Regions from separate parts of the Mus musculus genome. Here region 1 is reported to be linked to region 2. The links are microRNA targets in miRTarBase. Many come from high-throughput screens and were not tested one by one. Region 2 holds a microRNA gene; the other region holds the end of a gene's coding sequence.
The links. The annotated mature microRNA mmu-miR-700-3p reads CACGCGGGAACCGAGUCCACC and lies in region 2 at 2,809-2,829, shown strand. An mRNA with a match to its seed (bases 2 to 7 or 8) in the 3' UTR can be bound and repressed. Matches are read on the target gene's strand: a 7mer-m8 pairs with bases 2 to 8, a 7mer-A1 pairs with bases 2 to 7 and ends in A, and an 8mer does both.

Region 1 (5,379 bases), not on the chromosome of region 2:
CAAGTGTTGGCACTTTATTCCCTTTTGGCCAAATCATATTCTATTGTGTGAGTATTTTTATTTATTCAATTGAACATCAGGATTTTATTCCCCCTTTAAAGGTTTGTCTTTATTATTTATTTATGTGTATGTGGAGATGTTTCTGTGTGCTCATGTGTGCAGGTGCCTGAGGATGCCAGAAGAGGGCGCCCAATCCACAGGGAAGTATAAACCCCTCATCAAAGAAACTTCCTTTTGCAATTGATGGAGACCATTACAGAAACCCACAACCAATCAAAATGTAGAGTTGTGGAGTTTAGTCAGGGACATATTTATAAAACACTCATGTATGTAAAGATCGGGGAATATTGTGGAAGACGTGGCAGAAAGATTGTAAGAGCCAGAGAGTCAGAGAGTTTGCTGTGAGATTGTATCTCCTAGAAATGTCAGAAGCTACACTCATAGAGTCTCAGCAACATGACTCCCTAAAAATGATCTGTACAGGACATCAATAGACATGCTTAGTGTGGTTGGTGGAAAGACCACACAGTCTAAACCCTACACAGAGAACTGCAGGTTACTAAGGGATGCTAAGAACAGGAGAAATAGTCTCCCTCAGGGAAGAGCAAGCCAATTGGTTATCCAATACCAAATAGCCCTAAAAACATACATGCAAGTAACATTATACAGACAGAGCCAGTTATATTAGGAATATATATGTATGTACACATATGCATGTAACAACAGTTAATAAAAAGGGACTATAAATTTCAAAGAGAGCATAGAGGAAAGGGAAGGGGGAAATGATGCAACTTTAATTTCAAAATTAAAAGAAATAATTGAAAAATAAAAACTAAATGAAAACACAACTCATGGACTGGAAGAAAACATTTGGAACTCATATATTGAATTAGAGAATAATACCCAGATGAGAGACCAGTGGTTCCTAAAAGAGAAAGAGCAACAGGATTCCCTGGTGGGATTCTGAAATACAGACCGCCTAGGCGTTCCCAGAGCTTCTGATTCGTTAGATCCAGGATAGGACCAGAAGTATGCATCTGAAGTGAGTGGCACTTGATGCCAGTGCTGCAGGCCCTGGGCCATGCCTGGAGATCTCTCCTAGGCCTTGAGGCCATCGGAGAGGTTGAAAATTGAGTCAGAGATGAAGTGAGCAGCAAGGACTCTGAGATGGCAGGGACAAGGAAGGAGGGGTAGGAGGAGGGACCGAGGCTCCCGAAGTCTACTGGGTGAGACCTACAGTTAGTTAGGTGTCTCACTTGGCTGGATGAGCCATTGTTGACTTCAGAATTTCTTCATTTTATAAAATGCCAACAAGTTGTACAACCTCCTAACTCCAGTGTCAAGTCCTATTGTCCTAAAAGAATGACCAACCATGTGAGTTCATTCACAATTACGGGTGTTGGTATGCTCTCCAAATTCACATATTGAGAATCTAACTTCCTCTGAGATGGTATTAGGAGGTTGTGGGGTCATAGATAGTAGTTAGGCTTAGACTAGGTTGCAAGGATGAGGTTAATACTCTTGGAAGAAGAAACAGACAAAGAAACTCAGGAAGGAAAAGCCATATGGTTCATGAAGGGAAGGTAGATGTCTACAAATTAGAAAGACTCTAAATGTGCTAGTAGTTGCTTGAACTTGATCTCAGTCTCCAGCACTAAGCATCAAATGGTTGAGTCTAAGTCACCTGACATACGGTATCTGTTATAGCTGTCCAAGATGACTAACTTGGAGCATTTTCCAGGACACAAAACTCTGAGTGGTAAAACCCAGAAAAGTCTCCAGCACATGGGGCAATCTGGTCACTCAGGTCCCGGCTCTCTTTGTTCTCAAGAAAGACAATGTAGGAAAAATAGTTCTGGTATAATGTTTATTTAAATAGTAATCTTAAAAAGGCTTTATACAAATCATATAAACACAGTCTGACATTGTTTTATTTTTTACATTGAAGAATCACAGTAAAAGCTCTCGAGTTCCCGTGATCTGGCTCAGCCAGTGAATGGTCAAATACCTTTAACCGCACACCCTGGAAAAGCTTAATGTTCCCCTTGTTTTCTTGTCATTCATGCTCATTCCTTGGACCCTCATCCCTGTCGACTCCCCATTCCTGCAAGAGAGAGCAAGCAACCCTGTGGCCCTGTGGACCAGTTAGTCCGGGAGAGCGTGGAGGTAATGTGTCATTCAGTACAAGGCAAAAAAGGAGATCAATACTGTGAATTAGATTTCCCAAAGGGAACAATTCAAGGAGACAGGCTGGCTAGCTTACCTGCAGATAGAGATAACAGATTCGTCAAGGTGTCCTCTGGCTAAGTTAGAATCAGACTCAGCTGTCTTTCTTTACATCTTACAACAGACCAGCCTCCAGCCTTGGTGAGGTATCTACATGTAGCCCCGGGGACCCTGCTTCTTTTCGGCCCTCAGGACTCACCCAGAGCCTCAAATCAGCCAAAGTGAAGTGGATGCAGGACTTGTAGAGGAATGCAGGTTGAGTTGCACATAACTTTAGACAGGGCTGGTCTTGGGGGGGGGTGGATTATGGTAAATGGTCCACTGGGCATGTGAGGGCAGGACCCCCGGAGTGGGCACTTCTCTCCTCCTTAGAAACCCCCAGCTTTCTGAATCCTAGCTGCATGGGAGGGTGAAGAAGAGGGTGAGCTAAATACCAACTTTCTTCTACTGCACGCCCAGCTCAGAGGGCTCCTAACGCTATGCCCCCCTGGGCTAGACAAATGAACTTTTCACCTCTACCACTGTGCCAACGAGTGCCAAGATCAGCAGTAACACCCAGGCTCTAGGTCAAAAATCACAACACCAGCACTGAGTCCCACGTTACCACTCACATACACAGTAGATACAGAGAACTCAAGGGTGCGACACACACACACACACACACACACACACACACACACACAAACACACACACACACACACACACACACACACACACACACACACACACACACACACGCGGGAATAAATAGATGTCGGCATGACTGTTCCCCCTCTTCATACAAAACACTGCGACATTACCATCTGAACTAGGGTTTTCATAAGTTAACATTTAAAGGGACCACAGCCAGTCCCGTCCACCCTCCCCCTTTTGCCTGGGTGCAAGACAAATGAAATTGTGGGTGATCACAGCAGCAAAAAAAACGGTCAGACAGTTTACCACTGATATGCAACAGTCTGGACATACTGGTGGGGCTTAGACTGTATTTCTAGGGCACAGACAATCTTTAGGCATTAACAGAAAGTCAAGATTTGGATCTTGATGAGGACAATCTTATCCTTCACACAATTTCATTATCTTCCTGATGCCTCCCTTTCTGGAGTCATCTAGGGCTCTGATTTTTTTCCCCGGGTAGCCAGACTCAGTCCACTGTGGCTCAGCCGTGGGTAGGGGGGCTGGGAATGGAGTCACTGGGGCAGGAGAAGCAGGAGGAGCCTTAACTTGTGAGACAGTGGTGATTTCTACCTAGAGGAAAGGACATTTTTCTTCATTGTTTTTCAAGGCACTTAATAAAAAACACATGAACTGCTGTGTGTGTGTGTGTGTGTGTGTGTGTGTGTGTGTGTGTGTGTGTACGTACATGGCACATATGTGTATGAATAAGAACTCAGGTCTCCTGAGGTTGAAGCTGTGTGTAAGCTTCTCCATCCATAGAACTTGCTGACTTGTAGGTAGAAGTGCATGTCTTTGCACTTATATCCCTATAAGGATGTAGCCTCCCACAAGAAATCAATGTTCTTAACCTATCAAGGAGACTCATTCAACAAAATGTCTCTGTCCACACTGGTCATTCTTCCCAATACAGGCTGCGTTTCTCTCTCTTCCTTTGTTATTCTTTCTCTCTGCTCTGAGACTAAAGAATAGAGACTGCAAAATCTCCCACTTCCTCCCCCCCCCCCAAGTATGTGTGTGTGTGTGTGCACATGAGCTGCATATGAGCATGCTGTGTGCATGTGAATATATGTATACGCTGTAGAAGAACAAATAGGAGGGAAAAGAAAAGGCAAAGCCACCAGCTGAGACCCTACAAGGGACATCCCACAGCCACAAACTCTGGGTCTAGATTAAGGAATGGCACCCAGTCATCAAAGCATTTTAAGGCTTGTCTGTGTCTAACCATAGAGGTGTGTCTATGGGTTCTGGTGTATGAAGTTTCTGTTATGTTTTACTTTAAATCTTATATAAGAAAGAATTGTTCAAGCTGACCCTAAAATGGCAATCTTCCCCTGGATTAAAAAAAGCTAAAGGCAATAACATCCTACTTCAATATGCTAGGACCGGAAACGGCAGCTCCTAGGGTTGGCTGGCAGAACCCGAACACACCCCAGCAAGTCTCTTGAGTTGGGAGACCATCTGAGGGTGAGCTAAGCTGGGTGGCTTTTGTTTCTTAGGTTCCATTTCTCAGGATGGAAGGGCTGAAAAGCCCCTTTGCTTTTCAAGTGTTGACTAGAAAGAGATGTGGAGAACAGGACTGACCTCTCCACTTTCTGCCCCGGATAAGCCATCCTCTTCTGCCTCTTTGAGTTGCTCACAGACAAAAATAAAATAAAATATAACAATAGCAATCATAATCATAACAAACCCACAAAGGAAACAGAACTGTGACTCCGAAGAGATGCGCTCCTGTCTGTGTCCCTGCAGAGAACACGGGCCCGGTTCCTGCATTCACTTGGCCACCACAGTCCTGGTGGGCAACGATCCCCTTCACAGCTGCATCTCCCTTTCTCCCTAGACTGGCCTGTCTGTCCTGTCCATACCTTCAGTATTCTGGAACACTTTGATCCAGATTATGGCATTCAGTTTCCAAAGGGAAAACAAAACAAAACAAAACAAAACTGTAATCTTCGCTAGCCCCTCTCACTGGAATGAAACGCCAGAAGCGATCCAGACACAATCGGTCATGCCTCCGAGCAGCACTTCTGATGATTGATCTTGACCTTGTGCTTGAGGCCATCGTAGAGCTCAAAGTTGTAGTTCTCCAGTGTGGTGCAGCTCCTCGAACTCAGACCCGAATAGGAGCAGGTGCAGTAAAGGAGGAGGCCCGCACAGGTGGCCCCCAGCAGGACCCCCAGCGAGCTCATGGCGATGATGGTGATCAGAATGGGATCTAGGGTGTACAGCCAGCTCTTTTCTTTGCCAGATGAGGGGTCACCAGCCCCTGAGGTAGAGGAAGAAGAGTTGCTCCAATCTCCTTCATATTCATCTACGACACAAAATACACAAGAGTGTAGGCATGGAGACAAACCCGAGGCTCCCCAGACCCAAGTCACTTTAGGGCTTAGCAGTAAACAGCAGGCACTTGGGAACCTTGCTATATCCTAGCTGTGCCATTTGAAGCATGTAACCTAAGCCCTTCTCTGACTCCAGTTTTT
Region 2 (5,379 bases):
CTGTGCCTGGCTTCAGCCTGCTTTCTTATAGAACCTAGAACCACAACCCAGGCTGGTATCATTCACAATGGGCAGGGCCTTCCCCACATTGGTCACTAAGAAAACTTCCTGCCTGCAGTCAGGTCTTCTGGAGACATTTTCTCAGTTGGGTTCCTGTCTCTTGATGACTAAAGCTTGCATCAGGTTGACATATAGTAGCCAGCACACCCACTCACACCACTAGCAAATACCTGGGAGAGTCAGCTGTAAAGGAGAAAAGTCTCGGCTTGTGGTTTGCAGGTTTCAGTCTGCATGTGATTGGCACTTTTCCTGTGAGCCTGCTGTGCAGTAGCACATAGGGGCAGAGCAAAGCTCTTCACTTCGTTCATGGGAAGGGGGAAGAGTAAGGGGTTGGGGTTCCACTGTCCCTTAGGGTATGTCCCCATGACTAAAGGCCTCCCTGCCTCCTGAAGGCTCCCAGTTTGACCTCTCAGGGGAGCAAGCCTCTATCTACTATGTAGAGCCCAAGGGTCACTTAGAGCCCAGACCACAGAGTAGCACGTTTATCAAGGGTCCAGGGCCTGTGGCCACTTCCAGTCCACCACCTGGAAGGTCACAGACAGTTTGAGAGACAGTTTTAATCACCCCTCCAAGAAAGTAACAATTACCATAAAGTTGGAAATGAAAGCCCTGTGGTGATGGTGCAGGCCTTTAATCTAAGAACTGGAGGCAGAGACCGTGAGATCTGTGAGTCAGGCCTACAGAGTGAGTTCCAGGACAGCCAGGGATACACGGAGAAACCCTGTCTCAGAAAAAGAAAAGAAAGGACAGCTGCTCACAAGCACGCCTTTCCCTGCAGGTGCAGGTGTCCGGGGAGGCCCGGGACAAGTCCTACTTACTGCCACCACAACCCACCAAGCAGTTCCTCATCTCCCCTCCCGCCTCACCCCCCGTGGGGTGGAAGCAGAGTGAAGATGCGATGCCAGTGATCAACTATGACCTGCTCTGCGCTGTCTCCAAGCTGGGCCCAGGTACTGCATTCCACCTTCGCTCTCCGAGTCCTCGGACATTGCTGTTCTGTGTGTTGGAGACTGTGTGCAGTATGGGGTGCAGAGCCCAGCAACACCAGCACCGTCCAGTGGGCGGTGTGGCCACACCAGTCTGAGTTCACACTCGAGCTGTACACTTTCCAGTGCTGTGGTCCTCAGCCAGTTGCCTAGCCTGGGTTATCTGAGTGTGTTCTAAGGATTAAACGCTGTCTGCAGCGTGATAACTTTAGCCATTCAGCCAGAAGTTAATATAGGCGGTTAGTGAACATCCTCACTGCTTTCTCTCTGCAAGCCAGTCAGCACAGTGTCTGTCGTTTGGCAGCTGCTTTGGGTGACAGTGACAATGACCTATCACCCTTCCAAAGTTCTATCTCTCTCTCTTTTCACTTCTTACTTCCTTCTTTTCTTGCTCGGTCTCACTCATCTTTAATACTGCAAGAAGCCGATTCTTCTAGGGCACTTCAGAGGCTTTTGAGAAGGCACTCTATGCTCCTGGGCGGTTGAGCTCTTCGATGGCAGAGGCCCTACCGTAGACACCGCTGCCTAGAGCTTAGCCAGTGCCTCCCATGGCGCCCCAACACCACTGTGAATTTAACTATCCCACCTTAGTTATCTATAGAACAGCAGTTAGCATTTATGTTAACATTTTAATTAGTATTTATGTAATCTAATCAATGGGTTCTCGTCTTCTTCCTGAGCACAAAGCCAGAGTAAGCATAGAACAGAAGAGACAAGAAGAGAAGAGATAGGAAGAGACAGGAGCTGTTTGCAAAGCAAGCCCTCCCCGAGTGAAGGAAGCTGTGTATATTCATACAGTGGCATGTGCACTCCTGAGCACGCGCAGTTGAAAATCATGGAGATGAACATGGTGGACAGGGTGTGCTTGGGTTCGCTTGCACCATGAAGTTTCACTTGAAAATAAGAGAAGGATGGTTTTAAGGTGTGTGCTAACAGGAGTCTGCCTTGAAGGTGCCTGAAGTGCTTGGATTTAACTCCTAGGGCTCAGGACAGAAGGGACGGTGTCTTTATTTATTTATTTTTTAAGACTTATGTATATGAGTACATTGTAGCTGTACAGATGGCTGTGAGCCTTCATGTGGTTGGGAATTGAATTTTTAGGACCTTTGCTTGCTCCCATCAACCCCCCTCGCTCTGGTCGGCCCTGCTCGCTAGTCCCTGCTTGCTCCAGCCCAAAGATTTATTTATTATTATATATAAGTACACTGTAGCTGACTTCAGACGTACCAGAAGAGGACATCAGATCTCATTGCGGGTAGTTGTGAGCCACCATGTGGTTGCTGGGATTTGAACTCTTCGGAAGAGCATCAAGTGCTCTTACTCACTGAGCCATCGCATTAGCCCGACAGTGTCTTTACAAATAGAATTTCTGCAGGGCATGGTGGTACTCAACTTTAACAGCACTTGGGAGGCAGAGGCTGGCAGCTCCCTGGGAGTTCCAGGTCAGCCTGTCTACACAGTGAGCCTAGGCCAGCCTGGGCTACATAGTGCGACTCCAGGGAGTTTTTGTTTTTGTTTTTGTTTTTTTTAAATGCCAGCACTTGGGAGATGGAAGCAGAAGAATTAGAGTTCAAGGTCAGCCTCAGCTACAGCAGCAAGTTTCTAACTGGCCCAGATTTCATGAGACGCAGTCTTAAAAAAAAAAAAAAAAATCAGCCACTGAATGACGTAGTAGAAGAGGAAGTTGGGAGATAGAAGAACTTGATTTCCTTCACTGGGAGTAAGGCTCCTTCCTGTGCTTGCAGGGGAGAAATACGAACTGCACGCGGGAACCGAGTCCACCCCCAGTGTGGTGGTGCACGTCTGTGAGAGCGAAACTGAAGAGGAAGAAGACACAAAAAATCCAAAACAGAAAATCACGCAGACGCGGCGCCCGGAGGCTCCCACGGCGGCACTGAGTGAGCGGCTGGACTGTGCACTCTGAGCGGCTGCGGTGCCTGCCGCGCCTGCCTGTCCCACCACTACAGCTGCGCCTGTCTAGGAGCACAGCCCAGGGATGCTGTTGCATCCGTCAGGCAGTTGGGCCAGCCTCCCCAGGCCAGAACGTGGGGTGAAGTAGCAGATTCGGCCAGCTGTTTGAAATTCTGAACAGTATTCTCAATGGCACTTTAAGTGACAAGGTTAGCCCTGACCATGTGGCACCTGTCTCCTCCCCCAGAAATATTAGTTCCCTTGAACCTGTAGAGCATTGGGTACCACAGGCCAGAACTAGAGTCACCCAGTGCACTGCCATTTTTACAGATTTAAAAATTAGTCTTACGGTTTCAGTACTTTGGTGTGGGTATTTTTGTACAGGTGTGGCAGTGTCTTAACAAATATATTGAGCAAAGGCTGAGTGTTGTTCAGTAGACATGACCTTTTTTTTGTTGTTGCATGAGAAGAAACCCGAGATACAAAATCATTTGTAGAAGTCATTTCTCACAAGTATTTTTTCACTAGCTTTGAGGATGAAAGGCCAAATGACTGAGATTGTCAGATCCAGATATCGTGGGCAGATGTGCTCTTAGCTCTCCTGGCTGTCCGTCTGTCCTGCCTCTCTTGGCAGTCAGTGACAGTGGTGTACAGGACTCTGCTCCCAGCTCAGCCCTTCCCAGCCTCGGCTCTGCTGGAGGAATCTCCCTTTGCCAGTGGGATGTGTCACCGGGAAGCTTGGCTGAGGACTACAGAGTTGGAGTCTGTGGGGCAGCTCTTCAGTTACTCTCTTGACCCTCCTAATGCCGGCCTGCTACTGCTTGAGGTTTCCTGTGCTGTGCGTGTAATCAAGGACGTTAGTCGTCTTAACTTTAGAAGATAATGATAAGACTTTGTGAAGACCGCTTTAAATAGGGAGAGCCAGTTTGCTTTTGTTTTCTTCAAAGACAGGGTTTCACTTTGTAGCTCCTGGGCCTCAAGTCCTCTGTGATCCTCCTGCCTCAGCTTCCCAAGTGCTGGAATTAGAGGGGTGAGCACCACACATTTCAAAGTTTTCCATTCAAGTATTTCAGCTGTTCAGAAAGAAAAATCACCTGTCCTTTCCCCCATGGATTAGGGAAAGTAATCATTCTTTTGGGGGTGGTTGGGTTTGTTTGTTTGGTTGGTTGGTTGGTTGGTTGGTTGATTTTGAGATAAGGTTTCACGCTGTAGCTCATGCTAGCCTGTCACTCATTATGTAGCCCAAGCTGGCCTTGAGGCCCAGACCACTCTCTTTCCTCAGGCTCTGTTTGTTTGGATTGTAGGCATGGGCTTGTTGTAGTCTATGCTTCCTCCTTTAACAATCATTTCCACCTTTGCTTGCAGTTGGCCCTCAGGTAGAATTGCTTCTTACACTTGAAGATGTGTTGTTGGGGCCTCCATAGGTCACTCAGCATCACTGGTCCCTTGCAGACTTTCCTGCCTTTGAGTGCTGGGCTACAGGTACATCAGCTGCTCCACTCATCAAGTATTCAGAGCTGGCTGGCCTAGGTGAAGGGGCTGGGCATAGAACAGAGAGGAACATAGCTGCAACTGCAAAGAAAAGAACGTAGAGAAATGAAGCCATGAGAGCCGTGTACTTTGCGTGACATGTTAGGGCTGAGTCCTTTTGTGGTAGGATTGATTTCATGAGCGTGCATGCATGAGCTCACACACAAACACACGCACACAGGTGCATTGTCTGTCATTAAAACCGGGTCCCATGTAGTCCAGGTTGACCTCAAACTTGCTGTGTCCCAAGGATGACCCTGAACTGCTCCTCCTGCCTCTGTCTCATAAGTGCTAGGACTGAGGGTGTGTGCCACCATACCTGACAAGAACAGGAGAGTGTCCCTTGCCTTCAGGTCCTGTGGAATGCTGAATTCTGCGTTTGCCATTGGGAGCCCTCCGTGCAGATTCAGTTGCAGATTACGATTCCACCCGCATTGGTTTTTAGATCCAAGTCATCTGTCAGATAAAGTGAGTTTGGTTTTGAGGTGACAGCTCAGTGTGGCCCAGGTTGGTCTCAAACGCCAGGCCTCAGTGGGTCTTCCCAGTTGACTGGATGCAGGCACACAGCTGCTGTAATCCTGAGACTTTGGAGGCGAATGCAGTAGATCAAGAGTTCATCCTTGGCTTACAGTGCTTTGCAGTGCTGAGCTCGGCAGTGTACTTCATTTGATTGTAAGGTAGACCCTAGCTGCCAGCAAGTGTGTTCTCACAGTTGGGGAGTTTGTGTGTTCCCCGTTATACAGTACACGTTCTCTCTAATTTTCTATGTGATCATAACCCTGTTTTAAAATTTGTCTTGGCTTTCATTTTCTACCCCTCAATGAAAGAACATTCTTTTTTTTTTTAAGTCAAGAAGTTCAAATCTGCATACTTGATGCTACCTTGGCCACTG

Region 1: miRTarBase lists Nrp2 as a target of mmu-miR-700-3p. Seed matches in the 3' UTR shown: 7mer-m8 at 2,963-2,969.

Annotation. Positions count from the first base shown.
Region 1 is chr1:62,815,164-62,820,542 of GRCm38, reverse strand. It overlaps Nrp2 (neuropilin 2), which reads right to left. Exons shown (of 17, transcript NM_001077404.1): 17 at 1,851-5,210. The coding sequence ends at 4,906. Among named protein-coding and RNA genes, the nearest start is that of Gm35120, 19 kb to the left of the region's middle.
Region 2 is chr4:135,414,011-135,419,389 of GRCm38, reverse strand. Mir700 (microRNA 700) reads left to right here and starts at 2,757; the gene lies at 2,757-2,835. It overlaps Rcan3 (regulator of calcineurin 3), which reads left to right. Exons shown (of 5, transcript NM_022980.4): 4 at 839-1,010; 5 at 2,792-5,379. The coding sequence ends at 2,970.